3 linked regions of the Ovis aries genome follow. The protein of the gene in region 2 purifies or fractionates together with the protein of the main gene of each other region. This does not show direct contact. Links are inferred from orthologs where the notes say so. Each region holds a gene or a part of one and is shown on either strand. Other genes may lie near its edges. The genes, in order: TGFBR1, CANX and TECR.

Region 1 (3,654 bases), on a different chromosome or scaffold from region 2:
AAGACTGCTGGGAGAAATACCAATAACCTCAGATAGGCAGATGATACCACCCTAATGACAGAAAGTGAAGAGGAACTAAAGAGCCTCTTGTTGAAGGTGAAAGAGGAGAGTGAAGAGGCTGGCTTAAAACTCAACATACAGAAAACTAAGATCATGCATCCAGGATCATCACTTCATGGCAAATAGGTGGGGAAAAAATGGAACAGTGAAAGACTATTTTCTTGGGCTCAAAAATCACTGAATGGTGACTGCAGTCATGAAATTAATAAAGATGCTTGCTCTTTGGAAGAAAAGCTATAACAAACCTAGACAACATATTTAAAACAGAGGTATCACTTTGCCAACACAGGTCTGTATAGTCAAAACTATGGTTTTTCCAGTAGTCATGTATGGATGTGAGAGTTGGACCATAGAAGCCTGAGTGCCTAAGAATTTATGGTTCCGAACTGTGGTGCTGAAGAGTCCCTTGGACAACAAGGAGATCAAACCAAGTCAACCCTAAAGGAAATCAACCCTGAATTTTCATTGGAAGGGCTGGTGCTGAAGCTCCAATACTTTGGCCACCTGATGTGAAGAGCTGACTCATTGGAAAAGACCCTGATGCTGGGAAAGATTGAGGGCAGGAGAAGCAGGTGACAGAGGATGCGATGGTTGGATGGCATCATTGACTCAATGGACATGAATTTGAGCAAACTCTGGGAGATAGTGAAGGACAGGGAAGCTTGGCGTGCTGCATTCCATGGAGTCAGAAAGAGTCAGACACAACTGAGTTAACAACCATTATTATGATACTATTATAATATTGGTAAAACAAAGCATTTCCCTTTGGAGTTGATGTTTTGTAGTATAGGAAGAATAAAAAGCTGTTCACTTAAGTAGTTTATTTTACATCTTAAAAGTAGGACACAACTGAAGCGACTTAGCAGCAGCAGACTTCATTAGATACTTGTGAGATCAAGAGAGTTCCTTGGCTGCCTCCAATGAAATCCAGTATGCAGGCCCAGACAAAATATATTGTGTGCTCACAGAACCTGCATGTTTAACAAATGAAATTGGCCTAGATTTTGTCTTTGAAAAATTTCATCTTGACACTACAAACTGGAATTATTCATGCACTCATTCAATAAGCAAATTAGAGCAAATTAATATTAAACAGATGGCTAATTAAGCATGAAGTTAGTAGTTAACATTAAAAACATACATGCAAGTTGCAATTACTGTCGCAGCATGTTGAATTAATGCCATCACTGTCATTTTAGATTTTCTCTCGATTTAGCTAGTTTTGTATCACTAACTTAATCTTTCACTTTTCTTGGGTTTTACAAATCTCCCCTCAGTAGCTGAAACACATTGAGAATTTGAAACTGATAGGATGCCTACGGAAGTGTTTTTCAGAGCCCTCTGACCTTTTCCAGTCTGAAAAGCCAGTCTGGCTCTAGGCCAGCTTTCATCTTGGGATATCCCTCACCTTTCACCTGTGATCTCTCTTGCCTCTTCTGTGGTGACTGCCTTTCTGAATCCCATGTCTTCACATTTCTTGGTTTGCTCATTTATCCCCCTCTTCCAGCTCTTTGCTCAGATGTTACCTTGTCAGTGAGACGTTACCTGTCAATCTATTTAAAATAGCACTTTCCCCCCCCCCTGGCATATTTTATCTCCTTCCCTAAATGATGTTTCTCCTCAGCACTTAGCACGGACAGTCCATGCATTCTGCTTATTTATTATATGCTCTAGCCCTCTATAACGTAAGCTTTATGAGAGCAGAAATGTCGTCTGTTAGTTCACTGCTGTGTCTGTTAGTGTATCCTACCAGATGCATGTAGGATGGCATCTGGATTATGGCACTCAGTTTGCTGGATGATTTTATGCATGTCCTGAACCCTTGGTCATTTTTACCTGAAAACAAATGTTCATTTCTAGGAAATTTTCCTCAAGTATTCCCTTCCATTTTCCGTTCTTTTTCTTCAACTCTGGTTATGAATGTAGACATCCTGAACAGGCATTCTGATTTTCTTGTGTTTTTCTTCCTATTACCCATCTCTTTGTTTTCTTTTCTCTACTTTCTGGGAAAGGAATCCGCCTATATCTTTTGGTCTTATTATTATCACTCAGGTTTATCTTGTGGTTTCATAAAACTTTCCCCAAACCAAACAAAACCCCAAAAAAGTATTGATAAGTCCAGTATCAGTAATCTCTGAAGATATTAATGATGGATTGTTGATATTGTCTTCTATACACCTTTTGGTTTTTCCAAGGTGTTGTTTTCTGTGTCAGTTTCTGCATTTCATATTACTTTCCTGAAATGTTTGATCAAGCTCATGCTCTGTATAAAAGCAGCACTGAAAGCTGATAGGAAGCTTTGTGCACGTGAATGGAGCTTATCTTCCACTGCAGTCTAAGGGTGAAGTAACTGGATTGCTTCCTTGGGGAACCACTGATGTCTCTCTTTAGGCTTTTCTTCTTGGGCTGAAGACTCTTCTGGTCTCTTACCTGGAGGACCATGTAAAGTCACTGGCCGTGTTCTGGGGAGAAAGTTTACTGTCTTAGCATTTAGTGTGTTGTCAGTGTGGAATTTTGCCCTTATTTCCCCAAGACGGGAATCTGTTCTGCTCTCTCAGATTGAAACCTCTTGTCTTCTGTTCGGATGGGGTGGGATGGTCACCCAGCTGTGTGAAGTTGGGGCAGGGCAGGTATCTGGGTTTCCAGCTTCTTTGGCTGATTCTATTTTTACCCTGAACTTCACCCCAGGGATACAGGATATAAGTTAATTCCTCAGTTTTGGGGGCCATTTCATGTGAGTCAGGTTCTCTTTGCTTTGCACAGCTCTTTTGAGGATTCAGGTTTCTCAGGCTGCCAAGTAAATCCTCCTTTGTCCATCTGCTTTCCAGCTGCTGGCACCAGTATCCTGCTGATGGGAATTTAGGTCATCTTTACTCATTTGCTATTACAAATAATGCTGAAACAGAAATACTTGTATGTCGTTTAAAAAGAAAATTTACAGGTAGATGAGATGGCTGGATGGCATCACCGACTCGATGGATGTGAGTTTGAGTGAACTCCGGGAGATGGTGATGGACAGGGAGGCCTGGCGTGCTGCGATTCATGGGGTTGCAAAGAGTCGGACACGACTGAGCAACTGAACTGAACTGAAAGATTATTATCCAGGTCGTTGAAACATGGTGCATGCATTAATGATCTTTCTTTTCTTTTCTTGTAGGCCTTGAGAGTAATGGCTAAAATTATGAGAGAATGTTGGTATGCCAATGGAGCAGCTAGGCTTACAGCTTTGCGGATTAAGAAAACATTGTCACAACTCAGTCAGCAAGAAGGCATCAAAATGTAAATTCTGTGGCTTTGCCTGAACTCTACTTCTTCTTCAGATCTGCTCCTGGGTTTTAATTTGGGAGGTCAGTTGTTCTACCTCACTGAGAGGGAACAGAAGGATATTGCTTCCTTTTATGACGATGTAACAAGGTGAACTAAAACATCCCAGGATTTCTTCAGACCCAGGAAACTGCCATGTGGGGTCCTTTCTGTGCACTATGAACGCTTCTTTCCCAGGACAGTTACAAAATGTTGTGTAGTCTACCTTTATTTTTTATTAACACAGAACTTGTTTTTTTAAATGATTGCTGGTCTTAACTTTAGGTAACT
Region 2 (3,654 bases):
AAATAGGAGATCTGAAGTCTTTGACTCTCACTTATTGGTTGTGATATTGAGTAAATGATTGGGTTGTTTTCATTTCACTACATCTTAGTAATACCTCAAGGGAGGTTTGCAAAATAATGTAACTGTGAAAGTGCTTTTATAAACTGGAACACAAAGCACAAGTTGATGATTCATAAACCCTAGTCAGTGGTTCTCAGGGTAGCAACCTTTGCATCCCCTGGAACCTGATAGGAAGGAAAAGGCCCAGCACGCACACACTCAATCAGCAGTCTGTTTTAAAAAGCCCCCTGAGGCACGCTCAAGTTAGGAAGAGCTGTCTTGTGACATTATACTCAACCCAAGGAGCATTGTGTTAGTCTGCTTGGACTGCCACAACAGCACCACAGGCCGGGCAGCTTAAACAACAGAAAAGTGTTTTCTTACAGTCTGGAAGTCTGTGATCGAGGCGTTGGCAGAGTTGGCTTCTGATGTGGCCTTCCTCCTCAGCTTGCGGAGGGCCACCATCTTGTGTCCTCGTTGGACTTAACCTCTGTGCATGTGGATTCCTGGTTCTCTTCCTCTTACTATAGACACCAGTTAGGGCCCCAACCTTATGACTGCTTTTAACCTTAATTACTTAAAGGTCCTATCTCTAAATATAGTTATGTTGGGAGTTCAAGTTTCAACATACAAATTTGAGGTAGGAGACACAGTTAAGCCTGTAACAGCGGTATATGTTGTATGTGTGTGTGCGCTCAGTTGCTCACTTGTGACCAAATCTTTTACAACCCCATGGACTGTAGCCTGCCAGGTCCTTCCATAGGATTTCCCAGGCAAGAATACTGGAGTGGGTTACCATTTCCTTCTCCAGCGGATCTTCCCGAAATGTGGGTCTCCTTCATTGGCAGACCAGTTCTTTACCACTGAGCCATCTGCAAGCCCATAACATAACAGCAGTATATCAGTAAATTAAAAGATACAGGGAAAAAAATCAGTCTTCCTGTTCTGCAGCTGTACTCTCCCTCACTGAACCCTACCTGAATCCCATTTTTGAAAGTTAAGTAGTTAGTTCATCTCCCCGATTAGCTTTTCCTTGAGCAGCAGTGTTTTAACATCAGTGCACAGTCCTTATTAATTCACTGGCTTTGTGGTTCACTTAATTGCTACTGGGCTTATCACATTTGCCTTTTTGACTTAACTATTTTGTGGGCTAATTTGATTTATAGAGTATCCCTGGGAACCCAACTGCCATTTATAGCATTATTTCTGTGAGGACTTCTTAGGTTGTATACAGTTGATGTAGATAAAAGGGTTGAATCAGCCTGTTTAGTTTCAGAGAATCCAGTGTAGTTGTAAATCAAAGCGATATTGCTACGCCATTGTAGATTTCGGTGGTAGAGAATAGAAGCCTTAACAGTGAAAAATTGAAATTACTGGCATTTCTTGGTATATAAGAAGCCATAGCAGAATGTTGACATTGAGAGTTTTTAAACTCTAATACCAGTCCTAGGAAAGATGATGAGTGAGTTTTTATTTTTATAAAAATCTTTTATTTCTTTATTTTCTGTGCTGCCTAGGAGTCCAGTGAGCCTTACTTTCTTTCATTTTGTGAAAACAGTACCCACGCTTTATAAATAAAGGAAATGCCGCCAAATGATACATGAAAGTCTAGTTCTATATAATCAATCACTTTAAAGGATTATAGCATTTATAAGGAATTAGGCGTTAAATTCAGCATTAGAATAAGTTGATTTACCAGTGACCAAAAAATTAAGCTATTTTATTTTAATAAAATCTTTTTTATAGCAGTGAAAATACTTGTAAGATTTACCATCTTAACCATCAAGTTCAGTGGCATTGAGTATGTTCATATTGTTGTACAGCTTTCACCTCCATCCGTCTCGAGAACTCTTCATCTTGCAGAATTAAAATTCTGTACAACCTACTGCCGAATCATTTTGTGCATCCGTGTGGCTCAGTTTTTGTATCTTTAGATCTGTGGTTTTGGAGAGAGGATTGACTACCATCCATGACAGTCAGATATGATATGTAAGACACTTGAAGGCTTAGAAAAAAGAGATAAAAATAGTTGGTCTATGGTTTAATATATTTTTTTGTTTTTCGGAGAAGGCAATGGCGCCCCACTCCAGTACTCTTGCCTGGAAACTCCCATGGACGGAGGAGCCTGGTGGGCTGCAGTCCATGGGGTGGCACAGAGTCGGACATGACTGAGCGACTTCTCTTTCATTTTTCACTTTCATCCACTGGAGAAGAAAATGGCACCCCACTCCAGTGTTCTTGCCTGGAGAATCCCAGAGACGGCAGAGCCTGGTGGGCTGCCGTCTTTGGGGTTGCACAGAGTCGGACACGACTGAAGTGACTTAGCAGCAGCAGCATGGTTTAATATATTTTTTTGTTGAATCTTAAAACTGATGTATTATTTATTTACTTGGCTTATTGGGTCTTAGTTGCTGACAGGTGGGATCTTTGCATCCTGCGGGGTCTGGTTTTAGTGCAGGACCTTGTTGAGCATGGAGTCTCGAATTGTGGCCTGTTTGCTCTGGGCTTAGTTGCTCTGTTGCATGGAGGATCTTAGTTCCCCAGCCATGGATCAAACTCAAGTCCCCTGCTTTGCACAGGGTTCCCTGGAAGTCCCTTAAAACACTAATTAAAAAACATACCTATTCTTCTTGATCTTTGGACAAAAACAGCAGCATCTAATCTAAATTAAGTCTTTAATGTGAGGCAAGTTAACTCCTCTGTTATTTCATTGTAATGTTTTAACTCGTTTAAACTATTCTGTAAAAGGGGCTTTGTCTATTGTAAAGCTCTTTACAAATGCAAGAAGTTATTTTGAAATTATATCTGAACACCCTAGGTCTGTGTAGCCAACATGATATTCTATATGGGGACAATTGTTTGAGTTATAGTTTGAATTTTTTCTTGAAATTGAATCTTTTAACTAACTGATTTTAGGAAAACCTGTTATTCTGAGTTCACTTTCTTTATCTATAAAATGAAATACAGTAAAGTTCCTTTCAGCTCTGATTTGAAAGCCTTAATTTTAAATAAGGGTTCAAAATTTTTGAAAGGAGGTGATACAATTAACTGTATTTTTTTTTAATAAATACTTAGATCATGGAAGGGAAGTGGTTGCTGTGTATGTTACTGGTCCTTGGAACTGCTCTTGTTCAAGCTCATGATGGACATGACGATGATGTGATTGACATTGAGGATGACCTTGATGACGTCATTGAAGAGGTAGAAGACTCGAAACCGAAGCCAGATGCCAGCAGTCCGCCATCGCCAAAGGTTTGACATGATCTTTGAATCTGTTTGTTTTGCCTCTTGAGATGATCAAAAGATGAAGGTACATTTTGGATCCTTACCAAAGGGAAAGCAAAATTTGCTAAAATACTTATTGCTCTCCCTGTCAACCTTTGTTATATTGTCCCAAAGATAAATTATATGGGTTGAATTTGAGGGCCAGTCATGCAAGTGTGAAAGCAAACCAAGAGAATAGATCCTACTGAGAATATTTTAATTCTTAATTCATTTTTATGTTTAACACAGGTCACCTACAAAGCTCCAGTTCCAACTGGGGAAGTGTATTTTGCTGATTCTTTTGACAGAGGAACTCTGTCAGGGTAAGTGTTTTGTAGGGGGATAAAATCT
Region 3 (2,597 bases), about 8.2 Mb from region 2:
TGCCCTGGGTTCCACGTTCTCCTTTTCTCCATGCTGCCTCCGATGAGGGCCTGCCAGGTGGGAAGGGCCTACTTGGGGTCAGACCCAGCCCTGCCTGGGTGTCTGATAAGATCCGAATCAAGCCCTGCCCCAGGGGCCTCAGACCTTTCATGACAGGCTGGGGCTGCTAGGCCTCACTCCAGCTCCCCCAAGTTAGCACCTTTCACTGCTGGCTGGCATGCCTTCTGTCTGCCTGCTTAGAGCGGGTGGGTCAGACTCCCCTCGGAGCCCTGCCCCTCCCAGCATTGCCCCCGTGCTCCCCTGACTGGGGCTCAGAGACTAGGGGGTGCCTGGGATGTCTGCTCTGGGCTCTGGGGGCTCAGAGCCTGGACAAAGATGTTGTGCTGGGCTGGTGTGGTGGAAGGACTGCCCTGGTGGTGGCCTTGAACAAGGCCTGGGTGGGCCTGATGAGAAGCAGGCGGAGAGGGGGCCATGGAGGTGGGGGCCAAGGTCTCAGGATTGGTTGAGGGTGCTTGGTGGAAGCTTCTCCATTTCCAGACCCTTTCCACGCTTAGAATGAGGCTCTCCGCGCTGGGAACCCCGGAATCTGTCACCTTCCCTGGGAACATGAACGCACGAGGAAACTAATCCAGAGTGTCCCTTGCAGCTCAGAAGGGGAAATGAATGATCTATCTCACGGATTCTCAGAATAGCTGGGATTTCTCCAAGCCCAGGGAGCTCTGAGGGCTGAGCTGGGCCCTGGGCTGCCCGCTGACCTCTCCCCCTCCTCCTGGTGGACTAGCCCTTGCTCTGCACTGGGCTGGGACCCGCCTCCGTGCCCATCCTGGGCATCTCCCTGCCGTACTGTTGGGGGTCCACGTCCACTGGAAAGCCTTACAGTCGGAACCCCCCAGGCCTGGGGGTGCTGCTCCCAGGTGCCCCCCACCCCGGGAGGTCTGTGGTGTGGCTCCTGGGGGACTCCGGTGGGGCAGTTTTATATTTAGCTGGGTCGTGGCTGCTGGGCCACTCAGGTTACATCTGCACAGAAGCTGGCAGTGCCAGGGCAGGCACGGGCTTCCTTCCAGCACCGCGGCAGAATTTGATCGCGCCGGCCCGACCCAGAGCGCCTCGCGTGGGGAGGTCTGTGGTGGGGGCTGACGGCCGGCAGCTGGGGACTCTGGCCGCTGCGGGCAGAGCGGGGAGGCATGGACCTGAGCGTGAGCCTGGCGGCCCGGGACAGCAGCCAGGGGCTCGGCCCTGGCTTTGGCCTCAATGGCCTCCCCCGGCCTGCGCCCCCCAAAGCGACCAAGAAACCTAAAAAAGCCGTTCTCTTCTTCGAGGTGGAGATTCTGGATGCCAAGACCCGGGAGAAGCTGTGCTTCCTGGACAAGGTAGGACCGGCCGTGGCGCCAGCTTTGTGGGCCCGAGGGTGCTGGGCCTGGGACTCCTCCTTTTCTGGGGTCTTGGCCCCTGGGGAGATGGATATGCCCCTCCAGCTGTGTCCTGACAGCCACCCCCTGCCCTTCAGGGTGTGCAGGACGGGTGTGTCCCTGCGCCTGCCCCTGCCACTCGGCCCCTTGGGGCAGAGCGTCCTGTTCCCTGGGTGTGGTCTGGAGCTGGCCTCATGGTGTATGAGCAGGCCGTGCAGCTTCAGTGGACCCTGCAGGGCTCTGGTGCCTGGGAGAGAGGTGGGGTCCTGAGACCTGCCCCCTTCTGAGGCCAGTCCAGGGGAGTGGGGTGGTCCCATCCCAGGGAGGTCTGGAAAAGACTGAGGGCCTTGACTCGGGGAGGAGCTGTGGGTGGGGTGGAGAGGAGGGGCAAAGCAGGCTTGGCTTCCATGCTCACACCATCCCCCAGCTGGTCCAGAGGCGTCCTGGCTGCCTGGTTAAAATGGCCTTCTGGCCCATGGTTGTGGTGTCGGCTGGATGAGTTGGGGGGCCTGGTCTCCAACCCTCCCCCTCTCATAGCAGTTGTCTAGGACCCCAGTCCATCCCACCTCCCCAGGAGAGACCCTGGGCCCCTGGCCCTCCAAACTCTCTGCCACAACTGACTTGTCTCCGGCCTGTGCTTCCCCCAGGTGGAGCCCCAAGCCACCATTGCTGAGATCAAGAACCTTTTCACCAAGACTCGTAAGTCCAGGGCCCAGACACACGGCTCCCTGTGACCCCTCTGGGCAGGGGCCTCTAGGTGGGACCCCATCCTGCCTGCCTCTCCCTCAAGGGCCTGCAGAGATGCCCCTGGTGTGGCCCAAGCCTCTCGGGGCTGGCCTGGGGCCGCCGCCCCCGTGTGGCCACCCGCAGGAACGCCCTTGCAGGGCTTCCGGAAGGACAACATCCCCCTCTTGCTGCGCTTCCGTTCCGTGTCTGGGAGCCACACCGGGGCCCATAGGAGCCCACTTGGCCGTGTGCCTTGACACCCTACTCTCCCTACAGACCCACAGTGGTACCCCGCCCGCCAGTCCCTCCGCCTGGACCCCAGTGAGTACAGCCGTCTGCTGGGCTGCCCCCGGGCTCCAGGGTGGCCGTGGGCTTAGGCCCAGCAGCCCCTGAGCCCTGGCCCAACTCTCCTCAGAGGGCAAGTCCCTGAAGGATGAGGATGTCCTGCAGAAGCTGCCCGTG

The links.
Region 1: the proteins of CANX (region 2) and TGFBR1 purify together in Homo sapiens (affinity purification with mass spectrometry; 3 studies listed by BioGRID and IntAct, with this or other methods). This does not show direct contact. The link is inferred for Ovis aries from reciprocal best matches to the Homo sapiens genes CANX and TGFBR1.
Region 3: the proteins of CANX (region 2) and TECR purify together in Homo sapiens (affinity purification with mass spectrometry; 3 studies listed by BioGRID and IntAct, with this or other methods). This does not show direct contact. The link is inferred for Ovis aries from reciprocal best matches to the Homo sapiens genes CANX and TECR.

The regions. Positions count from the first base shown.
Region 1 is NC_056055.1:48,711,161-48,714,814, reverse strand, and holds part of TGFBR1 (TGF-beta receptor type-1), read left to right. Parts: intron 1-3,217; coding exon 3,218-3,343; 3' UTR 3,344-3,654. UniProt on the Homo sapiens protein: Transmembrane serine/threonine kinase forming with the TGF-beta type II serine/threonine kinase receptor, TGFBR2, the non-promiscuous receptor for the TGF-beta cytokines TGFB1, TGFB2 and TGFB3.
Region 2 is NC_056058.1:1,394,253-1,397,906, reverse strand, and holds part of CANX (calnexin), read left to right. Parts: intron 1-3,114; 5' UTR 3,115-3,117; coding exon 3,118-3,291; intron 3,292-3,552; coding exon 3,553-3,626; intron 3,627-3,654. UniProt on the Homo sapiens protein: Calcium-binding protein that interacts with newly synthesized monoglucosylated glycoproteins in the endoplasmic reticulum. It may act in assisting protein assembly and/or in the retention within the ER of unassembled protein subunits.
Region 3 is NC_056058.1:9,554,573-9,557,169, reverse strand, and holds part of TECR (very-long-chain enoyl-CoA reductase), read left to right. Parts: intron 1-1,319; coding exon 1,320-1,370; intron 1,371-2,056; coding exon 2,057-2,108; intron 2,109-2,411; coding exon 2,412-2,456; intron 2,457-2,550; coding exon 2,551-2,597. UniProt on the Homo sapiens protein: Involved in both the production of very long-chain fatty acids for sphingolipid synthesis and the degradation of the sphingosine moiety in sphingolipids through the sphingosine 1-phosphate metabolic pathway.